5 linked regions of the Cricetulus griseus genome follow. The protein of the gene in region 3 purifies or fractionates together with the protein of the main gene of each other region. This does not show direct contact. Links are inferred from orthologs where the notes say so. Each region holds a gene or a part of one and is shown on either strand. Other genes may lie near its edges.

Evidence for each region.
Region 1: the proteins of Slc12a6 (region 3) and Stk39 purify together in Homo sapiens (affinity purification with mass spectrometry; 3 studies listed by BioGRID and IntAct, with this or other methods). This does not show direct contact. The link is inferred for Cricetulus griseus from reciprocal best matches to the Homo sapiens genes SLC12A6 and STK39.
Region 2: the proteins of Slc12a6 (region 3) and Clgn purify together in Homo sapiens (affinity purification with mass spectrometry; 3 studies listed by BioGRID and IntAct, with this or other methods). This does not show direct contact. The link is inferred for Cricetulus griseus from reciprocal best matches to the Homo sapiens genes SLC12A6 and CLGN.
Region 4: the proteins of Slc12a6 (region 3) and Rab6b purify together in Homo sapiens (affinity purification with mass spectrometry; 4 studies listed by BioGRID and IntAct, with this or other methods). This does not show direct contact. The link is inferred for Cricetulus griseus from reciprocal best matches to the Homo sapiens genes SLC12A6 and RAB6B.
Region 5: the proteins of Slc12a6 (region 3) and Lgals3 purify together in Homo sapiens (affinity purification with mass spectrometry; 3 studies listed by BioGRID and IntAct, counting the BioPlex papers as one, with this or other methods). This does not show direct contact. The link is inferred for Cricetulus griseus from reciprocal best matches to the Homo sapiens genes SLC12A6 and LGALS3.

Annotation. Positions count from the first base shown.
Region 1 is NC_048599.1:106,732,462-106,738,656, forward strand, and holds the start of Stk39 (STE20/SPS1-related proline-alanine-rich protein kinase), read left to right. Parts: upstream 1-2,791; 5' UTR 2,792-2,984; coding exon 2,985-3,219; intron 3,220-6,195. UniProt on the Homo sapiens protein: Effector serine/threonine-protein kinase component of the WNK-SPAK/OSR1 kinase cascade, which is involved in various processes, such as ion transport, response to hypertonic stress and blood pressure.
Region 2 is NC_048596.1:159,050,683-159,056,147, reverse strand, and holds part of Clgn (calmegin), read right to left. Parts: intron 4,799-5,465; coding exon 4,606-4,798; intron 3,862-4,605; coding exon 3,672-3,861; intron 1-3,671. UniProt on the Homo sapiens protein: Functions during spermatogenesis as a chaperone for a range of client proteins that are important for sperm adhesion onto the egg zona pellucida and for subsequent penetration of the zona pellucida.
Region 3 is NC_048599.1:66,076,153-66,082,115, reverse strand, and holds the start of Slc12a6 (solute carrier family 12 member 6), read left to right. Parts: upstream 1-2,164; 5' UTR 2,165-3,145; coding exon 3,146-3,416; intron 3,417-5,963.
Region 4 is NC_048597.1:211,401,008-211,406,472, forward strand, and holds part of Rab6b (ras-related protein Rab-6B), read left to right. Parts: intron 1-2,231; coding exon 2,232-2,285; intron 2,286-2,464; coding exon 2,465-2,570; intron 2,571-3,659; coding exon 3,660-3,771; intron 3,772-5,020; coding exon 5,021-5,114; intron 5,115-5,465. UniProt on the Homo sapiens protein: The small GTPases Rab are key regulators of intracellular membrane trafficking, from the formation of transport vesicles to their fusion with membranes. Rabs cycle between active GTP-bound and inactive GDP-bound states.
Region 5 is NW_023276807.1:203,421,791-203,427,255, forward strand, and holds part of Lgals3 (galectin-3), read left to right. Parts: intron 1-2,398; 5' UTR 2,399-2,402; coding exon 2,403-2,420; intron 2,421-2,948; coding exon 2,949-3,305; intron 3,306-4,432; coding exon 4,433-4,521; intron 4,522-5,215; coding exon 5,216-5,381; intron 5,382-5,465. UniProt on the Homo sapiens protein: Galactose-specific lectin which binds IgE. May mediate with the alpha-3, beta-1 integrin the stimulation by CSPG4 of endothelial cells migration.

The sequences.
Region 1 (6,195 bases), about 41 Mb from region 3:
GTGGACCTTAGTCCTATGAACAGGATCTCTTTATAAAGAACCATACCTGCTCATCTCTCCAAAAGCTGCTTTCATTCTCCCAAGCAGAACTTTTAAGGGGAAAAAAATGAAAATAGTCCAATAAATATGACCTGTATTTTGTCAGATGAATTAATGATTTTAGTTCCAATCCCTAGACTGGGATTATGAATGCCAGGGATGTTTGGGGGACATAGGAGACAAATATGGCGCTGTTGAGACCAATCACAGATTTGAATCAGACACAGATCACTTAGTTCCCCACAAAGAACAACTGTTCCTGTCACAGACCTGTCTCCTCTAGTGGCTTCTCTAATGGTTACCAAAATGACAACATGCAAGAGTGTTCCATGAACCCCCTCCTTCCACAGGTAACTAAGTTTAAAGGACATCTAGTGTCAGAGGCCTTTGTCATCAGGCTTAAATAGGAAGAAGAGAACAAGGCCTTTTAAAACTATATAAAGCATGAGATTGAATCTTTAAGTTAATGTTTCCATAAATAACCAAAGAAATTAGTACTTGTACTTAACACTTAAGAATATAGGTATTTAAGAGGCATTTGATTTTGCCTGGAAATTGATCACTAAATTTAAATTGTGTTTCTGGTCAAGGATACCATGAAATCATAAATCTTTTTCAATGCATATAGGAATCATTTATTCAGCGATTTGAAAGCAGAGAGGGAAGATAAAGGTGCATTGTTTTCTCTTTTATTTATTTATTTTTCTCATTTATGTGTTTGCTTGTTTATTTATTTATCTGTTGTTGTGACAGAGCTTTTCTGTCTAACAGTTCTGACTGTCCTGGAACTCCCTCTGTAGACCAGGCTGGCCTCGAACTCACAGAGATCTATCTGCTCCTGCCTCCCAAATGACGGGATTGTTTTTTCTTTACATTCAAACCAGGGTTTTTGAACCTCAGCCATGTTTTGTGTCATATTAATTTTTTTTCCCGTGGTAAACGTCCCTTTCCCAGCCATAATATTGGAGCTTTCATTCCTATGTTGAAACCCAGTCTTCAGTTTAAAATCACTAATAACCTTGAGCTCGTGATAATTCTTACAAATGGCTTCCCTGGTTGCCATTTTGAAAGCAATGGGCTGGGGGCAGGTATCTAGTCTGACTAGGGGACAGTTGTTCTTTGTGGGTAGCAAAGTGATCTGTGTTTGACTGGGACCCCTGAATCATGTTTTCTTACCATGTCTAAAGGCTCCCATGATCAAAAGTCAAGATATGACTTTCTATGAGAAGTAGGGGGCATGCTCAATTAATCTTTCTTGCTTTCCTTTAAAAGCAGTCCTTAAAAGTTCTTTGGATAGGAGCAGCTCATGCATTGGTAAACAGGGCAGGCAGGGCTTGTGATGAAGAGCCGCCCCCCACCCCGTGTTCATCAGAGGCTTAGATTTTGTTTATAAAGGAGTGTAGTCTTGACAGCAATTAAAATGAATATACTTGCTTTTTAAAAATAGCATATCTGCATAAAAGGAAGCACACATTCTTAGTTAAACGTGCGAGTTGCTATATCATAACTCTTCCATAGTGTTCTAAACTTACCATCAGTTTGCATCACTGTTTTCACTAGACAACTGGTTCTTCTCCTAGCAGAAGTCGACGTTTCTTCTGAATTATCTTATAAAAAGTTTAAGATCTTTATTCCTTTAAGAGTTTGAGGGAGTATTACACGTGCTTTGTTCTTTCTCAAACTTTGCTGCTCCCTGAGACCCCATCAGCCTAAAGCCAGCCACAGAACCAATAAGGCTACTGAGTCACAGCAGCATTCCAGCCAGAGACAAGAATCATTTCATCGTGGTCACTCTGTGAGGGAACAGAGTTGAGCATTCAAATGTGACACCTGCAATTAGAAGATCTCTGGTTTTGCCACAGCTATTTTAAAGATGAGGTAATTTGGGGAGTGTTGAAAAAGCAGCATTTATTTAAAACTTTCCATTGCAGTTCATTTATGACCCAGCAAGTATCCTTATGTTCTGTCAAAGAAACTTGCTAGCTGGTCTCAGGGTCTTAAAGGGTTAATGTGACTGTTCATGTATTTATTTGTACTTGGTATTGAACCTAGGAGTTTATTAGGCAGGCACTATACCACTGAGCATGGTATTAAGTACACAAAAGGTGCTGGGGGGTGGGGTGGGGTGAGGTGGGGTATAGAACCAGGAACCTTAGCACACTAGGCCAGCGCTAGGTTATACTCCTAGCCCTTCTCCACTTCTTGTAAATTCACAGCCCCTGACATCTAAGTGGGATTTGAACAAAAGAACAAGCCAGGGACTCGGGGAGTCGGGTTTCATTTAAGATCAGCCCCGCGATTCCATTCCGCAAGGTGCGAAAGGGATACTGCGAGGTAAAGCACCGGAAAGTTACAAGTCGGGTTATATTTTAACCGGCGTCCTACAAAACCGACGCCGTGTAGGTGTCTCACTCGCTAACTTGTAAAAGAACTCCAGGTTCCTGAGCCGGGGAGAGTTAGCCGGCCGAGAACCTGGCAGCCGTTCAACGACCCCGCCCTCGGAGTCCCAGGGGGGCTTCTTCTGCAGAGCGCGATTGTCTAGGGCGGAGGTGCCGGGAGGGCACGAAGGGAGTGGGGTGAGCCCCGAAAACACCCCCGAAGCCGCACGCCTCTTCGCTCCTGGAAACTTCCCCGGCAGCGAGCAGGGCGGGAGGGGGCGGCGGTTCCCCACGGCGCCGAGAGCACCGTGCGCGCGAGGTTCGGGCGCGCGGCGGGCGCGCGGCCGCCGCCTCCTCCCGTCCCGCCTCCGCCGCGCAGCCTCCTCCCTCCGCCCGGCTCGGCCTCCGGCTCCCTCCCCTCGTGGCAGGCTCCGGCGGCGGCGGCTGCGGCGGACGGGGAGGGCGTGCGCCGGCCGAGAGGTGTGGGCAACGAGGCTAGGGAAGTTTCGAGTGGAAGGTCGTCCGTCCGCCCGCCGGCGCGTCCCCTCACTGTCCTCCCGCAGCATCATGGCGGAGCCGAGCGGCTCGCCCGTGCACGTCCAGCTTCCCCAGCAGGCGGCCCCGGTGACAGCAGCGGCCGCGGTGGCGGCCCCGGCGGCCGCGACATCAGCACCGGCCCCGGCTCCGGCGGCGCCCGCAGCTCCGGCCCCGGCTCCAGCGGCGGCCCCAGCCTCGGCCCCGGCAGCTCAGGCGGTCGGCTGGCCCATCTGCAGAGACGCGTACGAGCTCCAGGAGGTTATCGGTCAGTGAGGAGGGTGCTGCGGGGCCGGTCCAGGCCGGGCTCCGAGACTGGGCGGGAGTGGGTGCGGGATGCGGTTTTCCTGCCTTCCTGCACGCCCGGAGGCAGAGCGGCCGGCTTCGGGGCCTACCGGCTTCAACAGTTATTTTATTGTATTTTTTAATTTTTAATTTATCCCTTCCTTCTCTGAGCGCGGCTGCTGCAGGAGGTGGCGCGGCGGATGTGACTCGCACTGCAGACGAGCTGCATGCTGCAAACTTTTATCTCCGGGATCGCCGGGGCGGTGGAGCTGGGACCCGGTAACGCCGCATCCTCCTCCCTCCCTCCCCCCGCCCCGATAAGCTCGGGGGCCGCAGCCCGTGGCGGGTGACCACGCGGATGGGCTGCTGGGGCGGGGTGGGGATGCGGGGGCGCCGCCCTGGGCTTCCTCGCCCCCGCGCCGCGCCGGGTGCAACGCGTCCTGGGAGACCCTGCGGGCGCAGCGGCTCCTGTGCCTCCTGCCGTGACCTATCGGTGGGTAGCCCGTCCACGTAGTAGCGGCGGAGGCCCAGGCTCCTGCCCAGGCCAGGGAGGATGCTGGCCTTCTGACAGCCGCCGCCGCATGCCGGTCCTGAGACCCGGCTCTGCGCGCGGTGTGCCCGGGTACCTGCCTCCCTCCGTGCAGGCGCGCCGCCTGCTGCTAGCCCCGGGGCCGGACAGCGGGCGTGCGTGCTGGCTTCCTGCCCTGTGCCGGGCGTATCTGCTGAGATGAAACTCGAGGCTGTCCGCGATCCGCGCCCAGCCTTTCGGTGTCTCCTAGGCAGCTCACTAATATCATCTTATCTTACATTTTTAAATACCTGGCAAAGTCGAAAGGGAAGAAGCCGGCGTTTATTTCTTTGAGCCAAACACGTGAAGGGCTAGGGGATTGTGTTGTCCTCCAGCTGAGAACCTTACCTACAAGATGATTCAAAGTTAAAAGTTTTGTCAGTGAGCCCTGCTGCCAGGCAAAGTGGGCCCCCCCATCATGTAACCATATGAACTCCGTAGTGGGGTTGTTGCTGCCCCATAGTCTTGATATTTAAGGAGAGAGAAAAAAAAAGGATTCAAGTTATCCTAGTTTTTTTCCTTCACTTTAAAAGGTTTCTTGATTTTTCCTACTTGAAAAATTACAATTAGTATAATTTCACTGGGCACTCAAAGGAGCCACTTTTATCTCCCGTGTGAATGAGACCGCCAGAAATGCATACACGTATGTATGTATGTATACATCTATGTTTCACAGGCAGAGGTGTGCCCACCAGCGAGTGTGTAGTGATGGTGTACGTTGGTGTATGTAAAAGAAGCAAGTAGTCCTTATAGATATTTGTAGACAAGGTTCTTTTAGTATATTTCATAATTTTTAGCTGAAGACTCTAGGGATGAATCATCATGACACTGTCAGGGTTTAATAACCCCAGGAGCTTTCAAAGCCCAGAGTCCTTAGTGAAAACTGTTTTTGCCTGCCATGTAAGTCTTTTCACTCTGAACTTCTTTGCTGCCTCTCCTGTTTGTGCATTCTCCCAGCGATTACTCTGGGTCTCTGCTGTCCTACAAAGGCTCTGGTGTTCACCTGCCACCTTGGCAGGCTCTACCCTTTGAATGCCTACCATACATACACACATGGACACACACACAAATACACATAACATATATTGATGCTGATGAGTGAATCAGGGACATTACTACTGAGGTAAGGCTTCCATCTCCAAGGGGTCTCCTTTGCCTAGAGAGTCTTCCCAGAAGCTTTGGTCATAGTTTGGTGGGCCTTTCTGCCCCTCTTTTTTATATACTCCATAGTCTAATCTCATAATTTTTAATTGCTAGTTGAGGTCTTAGGGCCTTCCAAATTCCCTGCATTTTGGTGTCTAGTAGCAATACAAGGATAAATAAACAATGGTCCCTGTCCTTAAGGACTTCATGAGTTAGGAGACAAGGATAAATGGTCCTTTAGGGTGTGCTGAGTGAGGCTGGGGTGAAGGGAGGCAGATGCTCTTCAGAGAAGAGTCAGATAGGATTGCCTACTGGTTTTGAAGTCTGAGTAAGGGTTTGTAAAGTGCTTGATTGTTTGTGTAGCTGCTTTCCCTAAGAAACAGTGGATTCCCCTATTTACACCTCAGAGTCAGTTGGTCTCTTCTCCCATGCAGGTTTCCTTAGGACCAGAACAATTTACATATAACTAATTTATATTCCTATGTGGTTAATCATTACGGTTAGAATGTCAGCTTTGACTTTGGAAACAGTATTTTGAGTTGGCCTCTTTTGTGAACTAAGGAATAAAATCATTTTAGTTTAAGTTGGATCACTTGCCAGGCCTTCTCTGCTTGTGTTAATGATGTTAATTATGGTTGCTCAATTTTAGTGAAGACGAAAGAAAAAAGGGAATTTATTTACCTGAGGAATTCAAGAGATGAACCGGCTTATTCCATGTTGGTTTTACACATTTGTGATGTGAGAGGGCTTTTGTATGCTTTATATGGATCTCATGTTTTCCCATCTAAGAGATGGCTATTTGGAAACCCCTGTTATTGAAAAATTGCTGGAATAGGGTTTTTCAAGGACTTAAATGTTTATGGAGAAATACAAACCCATTCCCATTTGGCCTCTCATTCTGGTTGAATGATTCAGAGTGAGTTTGTGGTTAAGCACTTTGCCTTAAACATTATATTCAAGAGGTTAGCAGTACAAATACCAAACCCATTTGGAAGTCAGTGCCTGTCCCTGCCATACAGCAGGTGGCCTAGGAGGTGACTCCAGCAGTGTGAACCACAACCAGCAGGAGGCTCAGCTGTGCCAGAGCCTAAAGCCCGGGAGGGAGGGAGGAAGGGAGGCAGGCAGGGTGCTTCAACTTCCAGCGTGGCACAGAGCTCAAGGGCCTTTCTTCTGTTTCCTGCTGGGAGCAGGACAAGGCCTCGGGATTAGGAGAGGCTAAATAAGTTTTCTAAAATCTGAACAGACCAG
Region 2 (5,465 bases), on a different chromosome or scaffold from region 3:
CAAATCATATGTTTTTCAAGCAGCTGAATTTATTAACATTTTATGATTTTTCTAATTTATGTCTTCCTACTCCATTTAGAAAATATAACTCTCCACACTTAATTCTAGTATTTTAATTTAAGAAGTTACAGGGACTTAGGAAGAAAGCCCTGAGGAGCCTGAGCGTGGTGAGGAGGAGAACGGCTAAGACATCACCTCTGTGGAAAGTGGACGTCTTGACATCCTAACTCATTCATGCCTTCCCACGTGAACCTCAAGTGCAAACCAGACTAAACCTAATTCCTCTAATGCACAGACTTGGGGACCTGACATCAGAACCAGGCTCTGAATACACACAGCCTTTCTTTCAGCATCTCCTAGCACCAATCAACAAATCTCACCAGACATGAAGCTTATCTACAGCATCTGGACTTGGAGGGCAACTTCCTCTTCCTGGGTCTACCAATCTGAAGCAGAGTGGGTTTGCATGGAAGCCAATTGCCGTTTCTGACAGGACAGACACATCACATGATTCCTTTAAAGCAGGCTGCTGCTACTGCCCTCTGTAAAGCAGTTTGCCTGAGAGGAGAGGCATCCCCACCAGTCAGTATCTCTCTAAATCAGCAGGAGTTGATCTGTTGGCTTTTCTTAAGAACAAGACCCCAGTGTTCTGGACAAGTGGCCACACCAATGTTTACAAACAAGGGACTGGAGAAAATGGGAATGACTTTTCACATAAAGACAAAGAAAAAAACAGTGAGACAATAGCAAGCATTGACATAGACACATATGAAGCTGCCAGGTTCTCAATGAAGTAGTGACATAATCTACACACCACACCAACGGCACAGTCTACACACCACACCAACGGCACAGTCTACACACCACACCAACGGCACAGTCTACACACCACACCAACGGCACAGTCTACACACCACACCAACGGCACAGTCTACACACCACACCAACGGCACAGTCTACACACCACACCAACGGCACAGTCTACACACCACACCAACGGCACAGTCTACACACCACACCAACGGCACAGTCTACACACCACACCAACGGCACAGTCTACACACCACACCAACGACACAATCTACACACCATATCAATAGCATATCCACAATCTAAGAAGCACAAAGAACTGTGAGGAATACAATCATGAGGAAAAAGAAATCCATATTAGAATACAGTAAAACCAAATAGTTGAAAACTGGTAACGTGGGAAAATACTTTAAAACTGAAAATAAATGGCACACTAGGCAGGGCTCATTGGCCCACCATTATAAATTGAAAGCCTCAAGGAAAAGGGTGCCTTCTCAGAGAAAGCTGCCCGGCAGTGCTTAGCTGTTAGGGAAAATATCCTTCAAAAACTATGTTGATATAAACACATTTTCAGACATATAACAGCTGGGAGAACTCACTGGAAGCAGAGAAGAAAGAACAAAGTACATATTGCCTGTAAGAAACCCACTTTAAGGTCAGAAAGATGGCTCAGTGGGTAAAGGTGGTTGCTGCCAAACACGATGGCCTGAATTCAAACCCTAAGATCTGCATGATGGAAGGAGAGAAGTGAATACCTCGGGATGTCCTGACTTTCACACAGGCATTGTGGGACTGGTACACACATACACACAAGCACACAAAATAAAGTAATAAGAAATTTCTAAAATATTTGCCAAAGTTAAAATGATATTTCAGCAAGGAAGTGATTCAATGGTAGTAAAAAGACCAGATGCTAAGTGAGAGTAGGGAGATGTGAGTTAAAACAGTAGGATTTCACTGCAAACCTTTTAGAATGGCCAAAAGGAAAAGGGAAACGGAGACAAAATGCTCTAAATGAAAAGCAGCTGAAAACCTTGCATGGAGGTGGGGTGCAGAAGAGTACGGGCCTCAGGAAGGTGGCGCATCAATCCACACACACGTTTCCTGAGCAATCCAGCAAATCCGTTCCTAGGCGTTCACCCTCCGTAGGGGAAATTCATGTCCATCCAAAATCATCTGTAAATGTCTACCACACATTTACTTGTGATTACACTAAACTGGAAAATATGGCAGTTCTCCATTGATTTGTGAATGGGTGAACCAATGACGGCAGTCCCAGCACAGTGCAACTGCTACAGACAAAGGCACCCACACAGGGCGGCTCGGGAGGCAGATGGAGGAGCCACATTCTATGAGTCCATTTTACACAGTGCTTTGCCAAGCTGCAGAAACGGAAACCTCATTGGGTGCAGAACACGAGGTCCTCCTGGGAAGATGGAAATGCTGCTGACATCTGTGTGTCTGTCAGAGCCCACTGAACTATGCACTGCAAATGACCTTAGCAGCACAAAATTTTTACTTTAATGAATCTGAAAAAACATAAGTAGAACCCAACAAAAGACATAAGAAGATAATAACTGTGGAGCAGGTGAGTGAGTTGTAAGTCAACATTAGACAAGCAGTCACTATAATTCACTAAGAAAATGGGGGGAGGACAGGCATTTCAACAAGTGTGTGAAATCATTTTATACTCTCATAGAAATCAAAGAACATTTTTCTTTTTTTTTCTTTTTTTTTTTTTTAACTCGTAGGATTTGTATTCACATCTTGGTTATGTCTCCTTCCAGCTGGGATAGCAGGTGTCAGCATGCTATTTCTAGACCCAGTTATAAAATATCATGGCAATTTCAGGAGTGCTGTCTCCCTTTCTTAGATCACTACTTCTGAGGTGTGATCTAAGATGCTATGAACACACCTAAAGGGAGGCCAGATAGGGAATGGTAGAAACCTCCTGGGGTCAGCCACTTGAGCTGGTTAGGAAGTGGCAGCATTCCCATGAAGTCGGAGTCCCTCCTCCAGGCCACCTCTACACATCCCTGCCTCAACCCACTGAGGTGATGACGTGTCATCTTTGCCTGTAAGTTTGGGGACATTTGTTTTACAGCACAACCTAACAGTGGTTAAATACAAAAAGAAATACAATGTAGCAAATTAAGGGTTATGCAGAAAGCAGGAAAAAAAAAACTATGGCTCGTAGGAATAAAAGTACATGGTCTCTATGTAGAAATCACAGAACATATCTGAAGGACAAAGACTAGCTTGGTAGAAAGAGAGATACACTGGCATCCACACCACCCAACCTCAACCTGTAGGGACTCATCAACTGAATGCATTTCAGTTAAGGAAAACCTTCAGTCCCCCCCAGTGGAAACAACACAAATCCATGGCTAGTAAAGATAACTAATGCTTCAGTATGATGACATCATGAGTCCCACAAAGGCTTTATAAGATGCTGACAGGCAACCTAAAGCCAAGTCATTATTAAACAAATGATCAAACAAACAAAAACAACCAACCAACCAACCAAACAAACAAAAACCCAATCTGCACCTATAAAGAACACCACACACATATGAGGAAGAACAAGTCAGGAATCAGAAGCAAAGACTTGATGTTTCAGTCATGGATCTTCCTGTAGAACTGATACATATAGATGAACACATGATGAAAAAAGGGCAACAAAGCAAACATATTAAAGAAAATTTTAAATTAAAAAGAGAAACGCAGCATCCATTTCTGAAAAAACATTCCATACTAAATCATCAAAGCAAACAGTATGCTGTTAAAAGAGTTTCATTGGCTGTAAATGTCACTGACCCATCTTGGGCCAGTTCAGGCTAGTAGCTCAACTCTTGGCTTACCAGTCCTCTGGCTTGGCTGCGGTGGGGTCAGGGATTTTGGCTCTGTCATCCCATTCATCTGGCTTCTTATCGCTGGGATCATCAATTTCTCTGGGTGGATTGATAGGCGGGACCACATCCTCTAGCAAACTCCCTTGGTTCACAACTTTCTGATCAATGGATATTTCAAATGTATCATCTGGATTCATCACTAAAAAACAATTTTTAATACTTTATAGTCAGTAGTCAGACAGACATTGCAAAGATAATCTTCTAAACACTAAAATGACCTGAACTTTATGTATACAATTTTCTCCTAACTAGGAAAACCAGTGTATTGAATCAAAACTTGCTGAAATCACTAGCTACTATACTTTCTAAAATAAGACAAACTCTGCTTTAAACTCATTTTTAAATAATAAAAATTTTCATTATTTCCACAGATAAATCTACTCAGTAACTAGCTAACCCTGGTGGGGACTCCTGATCACACAGTGTCCCTCTTTACAGTCACAGAATATAACCCAATCTGCCTTATACTAAAACAAAACCCTCAAACTTAAAGGGTTGCAAGTATATTACAAAGAACTCAAGCTGTTTTAGAACCATTTGAGAGTTCCTGACCCAGTATATATTACCCCTAAAAATGTATTTCCTACAAACATACATTTTTCTACATAAACCCTATCAACAAAGTTGGGTTTATGTGACTTCCATTTCTCTTCTGAACTCCCCTCGCCCCCATTGGGTGCTTTATTTTCTCCTTGTGTTATTATTTGGCACAGCCTATCTCCCCAAAGATAAACTTCTTAAAGGCAGAGACATTTGTTCTCTCCTGAAAGCACAAGCCCTCAGCAACTCCATGGTTGACAAGCACTTGGAAGGAAGGAAGGAAGGAAGGAAGGAAGGAAGGAAGGAAGGAAGGAAGGAAGGAAGGAAAGAATGAGTGGTGTACCAAGGGTATAGAGGTGAGTCTTCCTGTCTGTAAAGAACTCTTTCAGATCAACATCTGGAGGTTTGGCATGCTTTTCTTCAAAAACTCCAGTTTTGGGATGTTTATGTCTGAAGATGAAATGAAGTTTATAATCTTCTCCACACTTGTCTGGTCCAAACATGACAGTATAGGATGTTTTATCATAAAAGTTTTCCTTCAAAGAGAGAAGACGGTCTAGTCAGTTCAGAGTAACACCTTGGTCCATGACTCTGCTCTGTCCAGTGGGTGGCGCTCACAAACCACATTAAATGCCAACTTATTGAGGCATTAACAAAATGACAATAAAGGATATGGCAAAGTGAAAACTTTGGCTCTCAAATCATCTGTTGTTACTTTAGAAAAGCACAGGCTACTTTCCTCCTGAAGGTGCAGGAGGAGCATCAGAAAAAGCTTCAGGCTTCATGTAAATGTATATGAACAGTTTATAGGAAATGAAGCACGATGGTGGCCTTAGACTTAAGTGACTACTCATTACCATTGTTGAGAAGGAAACCAGAAAATGACCCTTAGTAAAATGTGCTCAACGAAGAGAGGAACTCCCCATTCCACGCCATGTGGGACCTAGTCCTCCGGCACCTAATTCTGCACTCAGATACTGCAGCTCCAATGCTGCCACTGACAAGGGACCAGGCGTGTTTGGCTGAGTGAGTTTCTGAGCCCTCTGAATCCCTGTGCCATCACATCTCGAGTATGGAGATGGCAGTTCCCACCTTAGAAGGGTTCTCTGAGGGATTCACTGAGTCAACAAAGTACTTAAAGGAATTCAAGGCAATTACGTTTTTGCCACCCTGCCACTGAGACCCACAAGATCTACAAGATCT
Region 3 (5,963 bases):
AACTCTGGTCCTCTGGAAGAGCACCCCTGTCTCCAGTCCCCACCACTATATTTTGAGTTGTGGGATAACAGGTGTGCATTACCACCCTGGTTTATGGTGAGGATCGAACCTAGGATTTGTATGCTAGGTGAGCACTCTACCAACCCTGGAAGTTTTTTCTTTTCTTTCCTTCCCCTCTCTTTCTGTTTTGGTTCTTTATGTAGCACTGGCCACTCTGGATTGCACTATGTAAACCAGGCTGGCCTTAAACTCACAGATCTACCAGCCTCTACCTTCTGAGCACTGTATTACTGGCTGTCCCACCACACCCAGTCCCTGGACGTTTTCTAACTACCAACTCAGTGAAATCTGTCTGGTAGGAGGTGTGTCTTCTTTGTTTTTTCAGTATTGAATATAATTCTGTCCTTACAAAAACAAATAAAAGATTAGCATTCTGTGCCACCAGCAGTGCAGATCAAAATAAAAGACTAACCTGGAAATAGTAGTAGTCGATATGGAGGAGAAAAGGAAACTCATGAATCTAGCAAGGACTGAAAAGATCGCCTGGATAGTAACATCTGAGACATACCTTTAGTGAGCTTGATTATCAGTTAGTGTTTGCAGAAAGGAAGAAGAGCGGCAAGAGTGAGCTAGGTGGTAGATATAAGTAGATGCAAAAATTGTGCAGAAACGCCAGTGTGTCTTTTTTTTTTTCCTCATTAATGGAAGTTTAAGCCTGGCTTTCGATTTTCAAGGGAACGGGAACAAGAGGCAGGAAAGTAGCTACACTGAAGATGAAGATTTACAGGCATTTAAAAAGAGACATCTGAAATTTTACACTGACGCCCGGCGCCAGCATGTCTTTATAAAGTCTGATATTTGAATGAACTGCAAGCCTGCCTTAGAAAGTAGATCCCCCGGGGATGGCTCCAGGGCTTCTGATACATTCATACAGACATAAGCAGGCAAAACACCAATGAACATACATTTAGAAAGAAAGTAGCTGGGTGGTGGTGGCTCATGCCTTTAATCCTAGCACTCGGGAGATCTCTATGAGTTTGAGGTCAGCCTGGTCTACAAGAGCTAGTTCCAGGACAGCCTACAAAGCCACAGAGAAACCCTGTCTCAAAAAACATATAATATATATCTCCTTTATATGTGAGTAAGTGCACCGCTTCCATGCCTTGTCTTCAGCAGTTGGATCCCCTAGAACTGAGGTTACATGCAGTTATGAGCCAAATCATGTGAGAACTGGGAACCGAACCAGCAGGGTCTTCTCTAACCATAAGCTGATTTAACTCTTTGCAAGTAAGAGGAACCAAGGATCCGGGCAAGACTCCAGCTAGTTTCCACATTTTGATCAAACCTATAAGAAGTTTTCAAACGAAAGATTATGGAACTGAAATTTATTAAACATCATGATGCACTAAACACTAAACATATCTAGTTGACAGTTTAAAGTAGGTCAAACACTGGAAATGGAGTAGAACAGATACCTCAATGCCTTCTCAATGTCTATATAGTTCTCTTTAATGGAAGTTTAAGCCTGGCTTGGGATTTTCATGGGAACAGGAACAAGAGGCAGGAAAGTAGCTACACTGAAGATGAAGATTTACAGGCATTTCAGAAGAGACATCTGAAATTTTACACTGAGCATCTCATCTAGGATAAATAGATGTGGTAATGGGAGGTTTGGGTGCCATAAAGGTAAGGTTTCCAGAGAGACTCTAATTAAAGATGACCCCTGCGGTCCCGGGGTAAATGGGCATTGACTGCCCCTGAGCTGCATCCAGAGTCCACGCAGCACAGGTGACACGAGAAAATGCATCCCGCCACACACGTTCAGACCCGGAGGCGGACTGCAGTTCCCGTCGTGCTCCACGTGAGAGCCGCCGGCCCGCGCAGGCGCGCCGCACGCTCGCTGTCTCGGCTCTGCAGACTCCGGGCGGGGCTGCTGGTGCCCGCGGGACGGCGCCGCCCTCCAGCTGCTCCCCAGACTTCTCAGGACGGTTAACCTCGAATGAGGAACGAGCGGGGCGGGAAGGGGAGGGCTGCGGCGGCGCGGGTACTGCCCGCCGCGCCCGGGGCGGGGGGCGGCGAGGTCACGTAACGGCCTCGGGCGTCTGCCGGGGAGGGGGCCTCCTGCGCGCCGCGGCTCCGAAACAGTTAGCGGCTAGTAAACAACAGCTGCGCGCGCACCCGCATCAGCTGGCGCGGGATCCCGCACCTGCGACCTCCTCCTTAAACCTAGCCGAGACCAGCCTGCGTGGCCGTCTTCTCGGCTGAGACCCAAGGAGAGCCGGCAAGAGGCCACCCGCGTCGGCCCGGGGGAAAACGCGTCCTGTCACACGCGGCACAAACACGGCGAGAGTCGTGGGCTCGAGAGACTCGCGACGACCTGCCACGACCCGGAGCTGCCCTGATCCGCTAGTCGCCGCCTCCAGCTCCTCGGTCAGGAAGAGATCTCGAGGAGGCAGGAATCCACTCTGCCCCGGCATCCTCTCGTTGCTCTCCTTTCTCTCCATCCTGTAGTGTGGGGGTATTTTTTTCCCGTTATGCATGTGCACCTCTCCCACCAGACCCAAGTGGATTGTCGACCTCAAAAACATCGGGTGGTTCAGCACACACCTCCTCCCAGCCAGACCTGTGGGGTATTCACCTGATACACAACAGGTGGCCGGTGCACACCTTTTCGCAATCTGATCCACGCTATAGTCGCCTGATAAGGGTGGGCCTGCATGCTGTTTCCTCAGCTAGAACCGTGGGACACTCCGCAGATAAAGGACTAACTACCTCACCAGGACCTGGGGGTTGAGCAAGAGAGAGGCGTCACCAGCTGCTGTGAGATCATGGCATGGAGCCCTCAGCCCTGGACCAGGGGAGATAGCTAGGATTCCGAAGGAGCCAAGTTATACAAGATTAGCATCGTTTTGTTCTCATTGTTTTTCAAAAATTATTTTTCAGTTACTGGTGGTGTACTTTATAGAACAGTTGCCTTGAATTCTAAGTAGAAGGATTCTTAATTGGGCCTTTGTGGGATGTAAATCAAGGTAATTGAGGTTTTTTTTTTTTTCAAGTTTTCTATTTTTGCAATCAAAAGTACCTAGCGTAGGAGGAAGAGTTTTTGTGAGCTTTTCCTTTTCTCTTTCTGGAAAAGGGGGGAAAAATGCATCCTCCAGAACCCACCACCAAGATGTCTTCAGTTCGGTTCATGGTAACACCAACCAAGATTGATGACATTCCAGGTTTGTCCGACACCAGCCCGGACCTCAGCTCTCGATCTAGTTCCAGAGTAAGATTTAGCTCCCGAGAAAGTGTGCCAGAGACAAGCCGTAGTGAGCCTATGAGTGAACTGTCTGGGGCCACTACTTCTCTGGCAACTGTTGCCCTAGATCCTTCCAGTGACCGGACCTCTAACCCCCAGGATGTGACTGAGGGTAAGTAGAAACCAGAAGACAGGGTGTTCCAACCCCTGGGTTGTTCATGCAAGGTAATTACCTACTCTGTTTTATAATAATCACCAGGAATTAAGGACCACTTTTCTGTGATGCTTAGGAGCCTGGGAATAATAGTGGCCATAGTAAGTCACTGCAGTGGTCACTTGGCCTTTTGGAAGATATCTGGCAAGAAGGCAAGGGAATGCATATTTTGATATCCTCATTTTTGTCTTCTTATAACTAAAGTGACTATTTTTGGTTAGAGACAAACAATTAACTCTCTCACAACACAGAGAATCCTAAACTGTTAACATTTAATGGGCTGGGTATGTACTTCCTAGACAGCTTTGAGGCTTTGACTCTTAACAGTCAGCTTTTGGGCAGGTTGCAAGGATTAGCTACTGCTTACATCTTAATGGCTTCTTCCAGAGATTTAGCTGTGCGCCATAATTTTTTTTAAATTTATGTTCTTATAGAGTGTTTAAAGTAGCTAAGTTCACTCAAGGAGATGCTATTCTTTTGAATGGAACTTGCAAAGAGGCTTCTAGTGCCCATTCCCACGTCACTTGACTGCTGAGCTTTAGACAAACTATGTTGTGTATTTTATTGGGTTTTCGTAGTCAGGACATATAGGAGCCTCTTCTGCTCATATTGACTGCTTCCCAAACTTGACCTTGAACTTCATAGACTGGCTTATGTTAGAAGTTTTCATTTGATTTAGTTTCATGCAAAGAGAGATAAGGCATCTGTTTCAGACTAAAGAAAAAAGTTTGAAAACGGCCACCTAGTTTTATGCCACATCCTGACCAGTGTAATCTTTCTAGTTAAAAAAAAAAAAAAAAAAAATCCCTTAAGGTTCCTAATGACTCCTAACAATTCTGTTCTACTCAAGTTTGAAAACATGGCCTTGGCCACCAACTTGTGAAAGCAAGAGTGACTTGCCATTTCCGGCCTCAGGAAATACTGTTCCTCCTGACCTTAAGTGTTCCGGAAGCCAGAATAGTTTTAGTTCCTCAATTTTGTTTATTTTTAATGTCTCGAGACAAGATAGACTTGATAAAGCTTATAGTTCTAGAATTCACTAATCCTTAACTAGTCATTTTTTCTTTTATGTCAGTATTATATGTTAATTCTTTTTTTGTCCCCCCCCCCCCCCCGCAGGGTTTCTCTGTGGCTTTGGGGGCTGTCCTGGAAGTAGCTCTTGTAGACCAGGCTGGTCTCAAACTCACAGAGATCCTCTGCCTCTTCCTCCCAAGTGCTGAGATTAAAGTCGTGCACCACCAACACCCGGCTATGTTAATTCTTGCTCTAACTGCTTTCCACTGCTTACTAAACCTTACACTGGGTTATATTCTGAATAAAAGATTATAATTTCTTCCTTTGCCAAATTTTTTTATTTGTTTGCTTATCTATTTATTTTTGTGACAGGATCTCATGTAGCTCAGCTTGACGGTAAACTTTCTGTGTAGTCAAGGATAATCCTGAACTCTTGATCCTCCTGCCTCCACCTCCAAAGTGCTGAGATTGAAGGCCTTCTCAACCACACCCAGATTTATGTGATGCTGAGGATGGAACTCAAGGCCTCTCATGCACTTTCTGAGCTGAGCAACATCCCCAGCCTGTACCAAATTACTGCCAGATTACAGTTTTAGTCCTTAATCCATCACACTACATTTAAATTGATAAAATGCCAATTCAAAACTATAGTCTAGACAAGTCCCTTCAAGGAGTTCTGATACCTTTTTTGATTCAGTCCTGTATTCTAGTAAATAAAGTCAGGTTTTCCATCCCTATATCCCTACTCTAAACCATGACTACAGTACCTACACCACTTTGTTGTTTTTATTTACATACTATCTTTCCTGGCCAGGCTGTGAAGTTCTTGAGGACAGTTTTTGCACCTAGTATATATAATATGTGATGTCAGTTCTATTTTGTACTCAATGGTGAGTTGAAGAACTTCCAGACATATCTAAAGAGACAAATTCAACAAAAGTTAAAAAGATAAGCTGATAAAGGAGATGAATAGGAAGTGTTGAAGCAGAGAAGCTTATTCTGATGTATATTGGAATTACCTAGAGCTGTGGGTCATGACCCCTGGGGAGTGTCAAACTACCCTTTTATAGGGTTACCTAAGGCCATCAGAAAACACAGATATTTACATTACAATTCATAACAGTAAAATTACAATTATTAAATAGCAATGAAAAATAATTTTATGATTGGGGTCACCACAACATGAGGAACTGTATTAAAGGGTCACAGCATTAGGAAGGTTGAGAACCCCTGAGATAGAGAATTGTTTTCAGTGTTTCTGTCCTAGTCCCATTCCTAAAGATTCTGGTTTATTTACATTAATATTAAAAAAAAACAAAGATCTGTTCAGTTGGTTCAGTTATAAAGCAAATGCTGACCACAGTTCAAAGGGAAGAATGATTAATACCACATACATGGAAAACACTTTCATATCTGAGCTGGCATTTGAAACCAAAGGGCACCGAGTGGTTAAGGCACATGTAGCTTTTTCTTAAATGTCACAGGACAGTA
Region 4 (5,465 bases), on a different chromosome or scaffold from region 3:
CCATATGTGTGTAGCTTTTGAGTTGTGAGTTGCACATTCATGCTAGAATGTGGTACTTTATACATTACTGTGACCAAATAACCGAGAAGTGGCAACTTAAGGAAGGAAGGACTTATTTTGGTCACAGTTTGAGAAGGGCTTGTGATCATCAAGGCAAAGATGGGGTGGCAGGAGCATGAGGCTGCTCGTCACACCGTGTCCACAGTTTGGAAGAAGAGAGAGTATTGGTCCTAGTTTTCTTCTTGTTGCTGTGATAAAACACCACCCGGAACCAGCTTGGTAAGGATGGGGTTTATTTGGCTTGCTCTTCTCCATCACAGTCCATCATTTAGGGAAGTCAGGCAGGAACTCAAGCAGGAACCTGGAAGCAGGAGCTGATGCAGAGCGGCGGGGGAACACTGCTTACTTACTGGCTTGCTCCTCAGGGCTTGTTCAACCTTCTTTCTTATAGCACCTAGGACCACATGCCCAGGGGTGGCCCCGCCCACAATAGGCTGGGCTTTCCCACATCAGCTGCTAATCAAGAAACTGTCCCTGCAGACACGTCCACAGGCCATTCTAATCTGGTGGAGCCAAATGAGATTCCCTCTTCCCAGGAAACTCTTGTTTGTATTAAGTTGACAAACAAACAAAAAACCCTAACCAATCCGTAGAGGGCAAAGGGAGAGGGAGAGCAAGAGATGGAGAGGAGGGGGAGGGAAGGAAAGGGGCGCATGGGTGCTTCCTCTCAGTTTCTCCTTTTCGTTCAGTCTGGGCCCCCAGCCCATGGGTGATGCTCACATTCAGGGCGGGTCTTCCTACTCAGGTAAACTTCTCTTGGAAACGCCCTCACAGACAGCCCCAAGGTGTGTCTCCTAGGTGATTCTAAATCAAGGTGACAGAGATCTCTGTATTTACACTGACATCTCTCCTTGGTGTGTCTTCTGCATTCACTGCAGGCTTACACACGATGAAAGCTTTTCTTTCAGAGATTTTGTTTTAAATAAAGACTCAAGTGTAACTCACCACTCATGTTCCTCCTTCCTCTACTTCCAAAGTGCTGGGATTACAGACAAGGCTCGTGACTGGCTCACGGATATTTTTTCTTCTTCTTCTAAATTTGTAACTATTAACTGTTTATTATAGAAAATATAAAATATATAACAGGGAAGCAAAAATTGCCCAAGATGCAACTCTTCATTCAGATGCCAGTACACAGCATGCTCTCTTCATCTCAGCATCCAAGACAATATGAAACCATTCGTCTATTTCCTCTAGTGAAGCTGGCACCCTGCCACACACCTTGCTTTATACTGAGCCTTTTCACTGGGTGGCGGTTTCTCCAAAGCTGTATGTATTTTACAAGGTGACTCCAGGCGTAGGGTGGAGCACACTGCTGACGCTGTGCCCTGGCTGTTTGGCTCTCTGAGACTTCGTTACTACTTAGGGGTGGTGGCTCCATTTCACAATGACAGTATCTTAGTCCCAACTTATAGACACAGGATACAGGTAAGGACCAGAGAGGTGGGGTTGCCCACTAGGACAGAAGAGGCACCAGGTGGCACAGGGTGTGGGTGGCAGCCCTTGACTTGGCAGCATGAGGAGCAAAGAGCTTGTTGGGTTTTCTTTTGTTTTTGTTTTTCTAGACAGGGTTTCTCTGTGTAGTTTTTGGAGCCTGTTCTAGGACTCACTTTGTAGACCAGGCTGGCCTCAAACTCACAGAGATCCGCCTGCCTCTGCCTCCCGAGTGCTGGGACTAAAGGCGTGAGCCACCACCACCCGGCTCATTGGGTTTTCTAATAAGACATTATTGTGGATGGTGTACAGTACCCCCACCCGAGGTGGGACACACTGCTTTCTGTTCCAGGCAATGGCAAGCTCCACACACCCCCACCCCTGCAAACCCTCCCAAGAGCAACAGTGAACTCAAGTTCGAGGGAGAGGCTATGGGAGTTGGGGGGTGCTTGAGGCAGTAGGGTGCTCTACCTGGTGGGCTGTTCCTGGGGAGCCTCTCTTCCATGCCCCATTCTCTCTCACCCTTCCTGGAGCATTTTTCTCTCACTCTGCATAGAGTATTCTCTGAAAACAGAAACAAAACCTGTTCTCATCTTCGGAAAAGGATGTCAGTAGCCAGTGGAGGGACTTGCTTGGGTGTCCCCTCTGCTGTCTGTGCCACTGCCGGGGTCCCTGGGCTTTTGGCTCCTTTGTATGAGTCCTTTCCATTTTGACCTCCCTGTGCTGTTCTTTAACAGGCAACCATCGGGATTGACTTCTTGTCAAAAACCATGTACTTGGAAGACCGTACGGTGAGTTCCCGGTCTCTGACCTAGAAGGGGGCATTGTCTGATTTATTCCTCCACAGCCCCCAGTTGGGCACTCTTGGAAGTCTCTGCCAAGGCCGGGGTGGACCTGGCAGTGCCAGCGTCATGGGGTCTGGGCCTCCAACTCCCTCAACCCCATTGATGCCTCTGCCTTGACACTCTAGGTTAGACTGCAGCTCTGGGATACAGCCGGGCAAGAGAGGTTCCGAAGCCTGATCCCCAGCTACATCCGGGACTCCACAGTGGCTGTGGTGGTGTACGACATCACTAGTGAGTTGGGGGCTGTGTTGGCATGAAGGAGCTCTTGGGGTTCAATGTGACTCTGACCAGACCTGTGTGTAGGTGAATATATATATTTGTGCTCAGTGTGGGGGTAGTGTGGGAGTTACCTTGGACCACTAGTGGGTTCACTGTCCTCCAAACTCCCGTGACAGACATGGCTGAACAAGACAGGGTCCTACATGTTGGGGAGGCAGACGCTCACAAGGCTAACCCTCTGTGCCCTCCATGGCCCTGGCTGACATATGTGCCAGCTCTAGGGCTTCACAGACTCAGTGGGGCCCAGAGGTTGGGACAGGCCTTATGCAGAGGCCAGCTACCCAAGAGCATCTCGAGGAACACACCTGGGAGGGCCTCAGGCTGGCTTCATTCATAGAGGATGCTATGAGGCTCCTGAAATCACAATGGGTAGGGACATGTCTGACCCATGGCTCCCACCTGCCACCTCAGGGCTGCTTTCCCCCGTGTCTTCCTGACTGCATGCTCTGTGTATGCCCTGGCGATAGGGGAGCTAAAGGACCCGTGTCACTGGCTGTGGAGAACAGTCACCTCCCTTCCTCCAGGTGCTGGGCTTGGGTGTCACCCTGTGACTCTTCTGAGGAAGATGCTGCTGCCCTTAGATGGCTTGCTTCTGGGTTCATGTGCCTCTGGGGTGGCCTTCCTTCCATGGGTTGCAGGTTCTCTTCCCAAGCCAGCCCAGCCTTCCTCAGACTCCCTTGAGCATCCCATGGAGGGACAGCATTTCCTAGGGGCTGCCATGTCCTCTCCTCAGCGCTCTGCAGCTCAGCCAGGCCCAGCGCCTTCCTTCCACCCTCTGCTGTGGGTCTCATATCAGCTCGGACTCTTGTGTGGCCTCTAGAGTCATTGTTCTGTATAGAAATGGTGACAGCCTAGCTTTCCAGATATGGTGACTTCTCTCCCTTGGGTGGCTGAGCAGTGCTGGAGGCTCTCCAGGGTCACAGGGCAGACTTCCCTGTATAGCCCCAGCCTAGTTGGGATGTGGAGATTGGGTTAGTGTCTAGGTATAAGCTTGCCTCTGGGACCTTTCCTTCTCACTCTGTCCCCACTTCCTGCCTCCAGATCTCAACTCCTTCCAGCAGACTTCTAAGTGGATCGATGATGTCAGGACAGAGAGGGGCAGTGACGTGATCATCATGCTTGTGGGCAACAAGACGGATCTGGCTGACAAGAGGTATGGAAGTGCTCTGGGTAGCTGGACTGTGCTTCCTCACCTGTCTGTGGCCCAGGAAGTCTGAGGTGAAGAGAACAGTAGGGCTTGCCTCCACGAACAGGAACACTGACCTGCCTGTTAGACCCCACACACTGCAAGCTTTTTGTCTCAAAGCTCCATCTTCCTCAGCCCAGCAAAGGCAGGGTGTGGCAGGGACCTGTCTGCACAGATGTTCCCATTACAATCCCATTACAGTAGCCTCTGACACAGTGGCCCCCTGGGCTGGAGCTCCTGTCCCCATGAAAGCTCTGCATTAACATGGGACCTGAAACCCAGGTCCTCAGGAATGAGTCTGTGGAAGGTCAGCAGAACACAGACCTTGTCCCCAGTCATCCTGATTTATCCTGTGTCTGGGCATAGAGTGTTACCGGAAGAGGCATCTTCATAGCTTCAGTGTCTCTGCCCACTAAGGTGTCCTTTCCATGTGTGTCTACTCTCAGAACTCTGTGCTGACTTGGACAGGTAAGGCCATGTGTCATGGTTTCTGATACAGCCCGTGGGCTTCTTACAGTATCCCTGCCATTAAGACATAATCTGAGTCAGAGATGAGAGTCAACCTAGAGGGGAGGGAAATGGGCTCCTCTGCAGAGCTGGGGGCCTGGGGGTGGGGTTACTTTTAATTTTGGTGTTTGCTTTAGGAAAGGTCACTGACGATTCCTCCCAAGAAAGGCTGTGAGTGTCTGGGAGTTCTAGTTCTAATGGCTTCCGAGAAAGGCAATGGGGATGTGGCTCAGGTGTAGAGTGCTTGCCTTCCATGCATGAAGCCCTGGGATCAGTCCCCAGCACTCATAAACCAGGCTCGGTGGGATACGCCTGCAGTCCCTGTTCTAGAGAGGTGGACACAGGAGGATCAGAAGTTCAGTGTCATTCTTTGCTATCTCACAAATTCAAGGTCAGCCTCGGCTACATGTGACCCTTCCTACCCCCCCCACATGTGGGGGGGGTAGCCTCACTCCCTAGTTCAGAAGACATGGAAGAAATATGGAAAAGGGCCAGAGTCCTCTATGCTCAGGCACCACCTTCTTACTAGACAGACTACGGCTGGCATTCTGTCAGGGACCCGTGGGCAGTGAGCCTGTCTTCAGGACTGACCCAGGGGGCTGGCAGGCTCCCTCTGTCCACCCGCAGTCCTTCATCTCAGGTTGCCTCCTCATATCTGCCAGGGTTGCCTCTCTGCCACCTGATCTCCTCCTCTCCCCTTCATTTCTAGGCAGATAACCATCGAGGAAGGGGAGCAGAGGGCCAAAGAACTGAGCGTTATGTTTATCGAGACCAGCGCGAAGACCGGCTACAACGTGAAGCAGGTGAGGACACAGCTGGCGATGTCCCTGTCTTGCTCAGGTCTAGAAGCCCTCACCTGGGACCTTCCTTGCCCTGAGTTGGCTAGTGACTAGGTCAGGGCAGCTAGCCAGTGCATAAACCTATTACTCTGAGCAGTGGGGGATGGCACCGATAAAGTGCCATCAGCCAGGCAGGCTGGTCAGCCAGGGCTGATAAAGCAGGTGAGATGAGCCATGCGGATGCTGTTAGTCACTGGTCTCCACAGCTGTGTCAGGTGTGGGTCCCTGTGGCGGCGTGTGTGGACGAGGGTCCAGCATGGACTTCCACCTGGCTGAGAAAGCTGTGGTTCCTAGCATCTCACTTCGCTTCAAATG
Region 5 (5,465 bases), on a different chromosome or scaffold from region 3:
GTTACAGTAAGTCTTCAGCCTCTTAAAAACAGTAACGCACTAAAGGGAAGGGGAACAAAAAAGGTTTTCTTTAGGGGGAAGTGTTTCCTTTTTGGGGTTTGGAGACAACCTTGCTATGTGGCTTAGGTTGGTTAACCTTAAACTCAATCTTCCTGCCTCAGCTTTCTGAGTGCTGGGATGACTGGTGTGTTGCACCACACCCAGCAATAGACTGCCCTGTTTTTGAAACAGGGGCTGCTTGGACCTGCAGCTTGGAAGGGCTTTACACTTTTGACCCTCTTGTCTCAGCTTCCCTGAGGCAAGGGTGGCTACCACCCTTCCTTGTAAACTTGGCTAGTTTTAAAACCTGAAACTCTTGTTAGTTTTTATTGCCTTGCTTCTGCACCTTTACGTAGGGTAGACGGTAACAGCCTAGATTGGTTGGTTTTCAACCATACCTGGTTTTGGCCCTAGGGGATATCTGGCAATGTTTGAAAGCATTTTGGGCTGTCATAAGTTATAGATTAGTAGCGTGCTACTGGCCTCTAAGGGCTTGAAGCCAGACACTGCCGAAGGGGCGGGGAAAGAGTAATCAAAAGTGCTAAGCTCCCTGCCCATTTTGAACTTGAAAACTGTCCTCTAACAGGCTCCAAAATGGACACAGGACTATGTAGCCTTGGCTGGCAGGGAATTGCTACATAGACCAGGCCTGGCCTCAAACTCACAAAAGATCTATCTGCCTCTGTCTTCTGAATGCTATGTGCCACCACGCCCAAGCCAGGTTTTATTTTCTTGTGAAAATTATGAAGCCAGGCACTGTGGCTCATGCCTTCTGAGAGGCTGAGGGAGGAGGATTGCCATAGTGTTCAAAGCCAGAATGAGCCACTGGAACGTGGTATGTAGTCCAAGCCGGCCTCAAACTCATGGTAGTCCTCATGCTAGAGAATGCTGGGATTACAGGCAGGAGCCACCACATTCACCTAATAATGTGAGTTCTTGGGATAATTGAGTAAAATACCACAGGTGGACAAATGAAGTCAGAAATTACTGATTATTTCCAGGTCCAGGTCATTCTGGTGGTCACAAAATGACTGCAGTGATTCAGAGCTCAGCTAGAACTGACCCTGGTCCAAAGCAGCTCTCTTGTGTTGCTTGGCACTAGATTGTTTGCCAAATATGCCAAGGCAAGAAATTTAATCCCCAGCACTGGAAGGAAGGAAGGAAGGAAGGAAGGAAGGAAGGAAGGAAGGGAAGGAAAGAAAGAAAGAAAGAAAGAAAGAAAGAAAGAAAGTAGTTCCCAAACCAAAGCTGCCCTCCTGTCTTCACTCTGAGGGAGCTGTTGCAACAGGGGTAGGTGGTGCTTTTATGGGCATGGCCCTGGGGCAGGAGCAGGAGCAGGAGCAGGAGCAGGAGGAAGCAGGGTATGTCTGCAAACCAACCCTGAGGCAGCTTTGTGCAAGACAAACCTGTCTGACAGCATCTGTGCCCCACATGCGTCTGTTCCCATGGCTTCCTGGCTGCCCTTTGTTGGGCTGCTACACTGCTGAACATTTTATTTGGGATAACAAGTACCTTTAAAATAAGTGAGGCACAGTGGCTCACAGCACAGCCGGCACTTGAAAGACTGAGGCAGGAGGACCCTAAGTTCAAGGTCAGGATGGGCTATATAGAAAGACAGACTTTCTAAAACATAAAAGAAAACACCTCCAAATCCAATGAACCAAAGGCTCCCAGATGTCACCTGTCCATCAAATCTTTGTTCCAACGCCATCTCCCTTCCCAACTCACAAGTAAACTCTCAGATTTGAATGTCCCAACAGAGTCCCGCAGCATTGATCACACCCTTGTATGAATGCATCTCATGTCCCCTGCTGGTCTGTGGGCCCTGGGACTGCATGGAAAGTGGGGGCTCAGAGCCGGCGTCAATGTGTGCCAATGCAGGATAAATAACCAGGCGGCAGCCATGTCAAGCTGTCTTGGAGATCTCAATAGGAGCTGACACACAGCTTCCCTCCAGTGTCCAGAAGGTCTGGGAAGAGAAGAGGGGTGACCTGTGCTGCTTGGGAATCCTTTGAAGGGTAAAGACAGCCAAGAGAAGCCACACCTTGTACCGTATTTCATCGAGAGAAGGGGCAGAAATTCTCACCCTGCTCCTTGCCTCTCAAGGCTTTACTCTCAGAATTCAGAACATGAGATCCCAGTACCAAGGTTTAACTCCACAACTTAAGTAGGTTTGGAATTTAGGATGAAAGTATCCTGCCCCTCCACAAGATGTTTTTCGGTCCTACACCATTGACTTGGGCAAAATCATTGTAGACTGGAATTGTCCGCCACTGTTTGGGATGCTAAATCTCATGAAGGTTTGTAAAGTCCTTTAGGCTCAAATAATAACAACTCCCTTTGGCTTTTTTTCTCTTAGGAAAATGGCAGACGGTTTTTCGGTAAGTATTCCATGTTGGCTTTCTTAGCCCCACATATCCATACAGTTAATGGCTTCATTTCTACCACTAAGCTTTCCCTTTGGCCCTCCTAACATGACATTCCATCTGGCTCAGTTGTCTGCTCCGGGCCTATTAGCTGGAGGTTTGCTTTTCCAGCAACAGATTCCAAGGAGAGACATGGCCTCTGTAGCAGAGCAGTGATGTCCCTGCTGGAAGCAGCCAACAGATGTAGCTGTTTCTCATGTTGATTAAAAAGTGTGGGCTTGTAAAAGATCAGTTCCTGGTGTGAATTAGAAGAATTTAGTCCTCCCTGACCTGTGATGATAAGAGACCAGAATAAAACAAAATAAACAGCAAAAGCACAATCTTAAAGTCTGAGTCCTTGGGACTCTAAACAGTAGCATAGGGGAGGGCAGAGTGTGACCCTTCTCTTATTTCTCAGCTTCCTAGCTCACAAATGCCTGTAGTACTGTGAATTTTATTTTGTGAATGAGTCCTATCCTCTAATTGTTTGTTTTTTATTTACAGCTTAATGATGCCTTAGCTGGTTCTGGAAACCCAAACCCTCAAGGATGGCCTGGTGCATACCAACCTGGGGCAGGGGGCTACCCAGGGGCTTCCTATCCTGGGGCCTACCCTGGGCAGGCTCCTCCAGGGGCTTATCCTGGGCAGGCTCCTCCTAGTGCCTACCCAGGCCCAACTGCCCCTGGAGCTTACCCTGGCTCAACTGCCCCTGGAGCTTACCCTGGCCCAACTGCACCCGGAGCTTACCCTGGATCTGCACCTGGAGCCTTCCCAGGGCAACCTGGAGCACCTGGGGCCTACCCCAGTGCTCCTGGGGCCTATCCTGCTGCTGGCCCCTATGGCGCCCCCACTGGAGCATTGGTAAGAAGGAAGAGTTGTTTCATGGGCTTTATAGACAGGGGAGACGATGTTAGGGGGTTATCTTTAAGGATGCTGCTTGAGCCCTGTCTTAAGGGCCAACCACAGGGCTGTATTAATGTGTTAAAAGGAAGGTTCATATTGAGTTTATGCTGTGACTTGTTAGTATAGGTTGTGGTAATGAGCTAGGCATAGTGGTACATGTCTTCAATCCCAGCACTCGGAGGCAGAGAGAGGCAGGTGGATCTCTGCAGGTTTGAGGCCAACCTGGCCTAAATAGAGAGACTCTGTCTCAAAACCTAATTATATTTTATTATGGTATTATTATATTATTTTTATACTATGAGAAGTTTATCATTAATAAACAATAGCCTGAGTGGGGTGGCTCATACCTATAACCCCACTGAGTGCTTTTCAAAGCTGCAAAGACTTGCCTCAAACTGGGAATGCAGGAAAGGGAACTGATGGGCAAGGGGCAGGGGAGACACCTCCAGCATATACCTGTGTCAGGAGCTTCCAGTCCACAGAGCAGCTCCAGGAAGCACATATAGGACTAGTGCAAACCAGGGCCAGAAACGAAAATTTGGGGGACAGCTGAACCTGGGAGGCAATGTCATAAAGGAGACTAGAGGCAGGGGCAGAGTTCTGGGGGTATCCATGCTACCTGAAACACTTAGCTCAAACTTGTGAAATGAACTAAAATGTTCATTCAACATATACTCAGATTTTCATATGCAAAGCACTCTGCTGGTGACCTGTGAGCACAGAAGCCCCAGGTGACACAAACCTTTTCTCAGGAAGCAGAATTACAGTGCTGTATGTCATGTGACAAGGGACTGTTGGTCAAGTCTACCTTAAAATGTTAGACAAAGGATGAATAATGGGTTGAAACAATTCCAGTGATGATCCCAGAACATCTTCTTCTTATTTGTTAATTTCCCAGTTAACATTTGTGCACACAGGAAACTTCATCACTTTAAGCTCTGAGCAAGGTGACCTCAGAATGTAGATGGGTGGCCTAGGGTTCTGTGTTAGTCACATGCATTGTAACAACGTTAGCAATGTAGTTTTCCTTTCCCCAAGCAAACCCAATACCTTACTGATACACACATGTTCTTGTCTGTTCCCAGACAGTGCCCTATAAGCTGCCCTTGGCTGGAGGAGTCATGCCTCGAATGCTGATTACAATCATGGGCACAGTGAAGCCCAATGCAAACAGGTACACGGGGTGATACCAACAACCCAACAAAGCTGTTGATTGGTTTGGGAATAAAGATTATCTTTTTTTTTTTGCAGGGGGTGGGGGGGTGGGGGAGGGGGATAGGGGGACTCGAGACAGTGTTTCTTCTCTGTGTAGCTTTGGAGCCTGTCCTGGAACTCACTCTATAGACCAGGCTGGCCTTGAATTCACAGAGATCCACCGGCCTCTGCCTCCCGAGTGCTGGGATTAAAGGCGTGCGCCACCAATGCCTGGCTCGAAACCCTGTCTTGAAAGAAAAACAAAAACACCAACAAAAAAAGTGTATCTGTGAAGGATCAGGAATGATGGCACCAAAGTCAATGAATACCACCACCACTACCCCCCCAAAAAATAAACAAATGAAAAACAAAACAGCTGGTGGCACACACTTGGAATCCCAGCCCTTAGGAGGTCAAGGTAGGAGGCCAGCCTGGGCTACATAGTGAGTCCCTGTCTCAATGAGCAGACAACACGTATTGCCCTGCTAGAGTTTTGAGTTGATCACCATAATGTGGATGGGCCCGCTCTTCTTTTGAGTAGGAACTCATACTCTGGCTTATTTCCTTCCTGTACAGAAATCCCTACATATTATAAAAAGGCTTGCTTTTTAGAAACGGAGATGCTCTTGACTTGATACATACTTTAATATCTTTAATTTTCTGGTTTAAAACAGGATTATTCTAAATTTCATGAGAGGGAATGACATTGCCTTCCACTTTAACCCTCGCTTCAATGAAAACAACAGGAAAGTCATTGTGTGCAACACCAAACAGGATAACAACTGGGGAAGGGAAGAAAGACAGTCAGCTTTCCCATTTGAAAGTGGCAGACCATTCAAAGTAAGTTACTGCTTCGGTATGCAGGCCATGCTCTCTCATGGAGGGTTATACTCGAAAACCACACGCCTATCTGGGCACCTACCC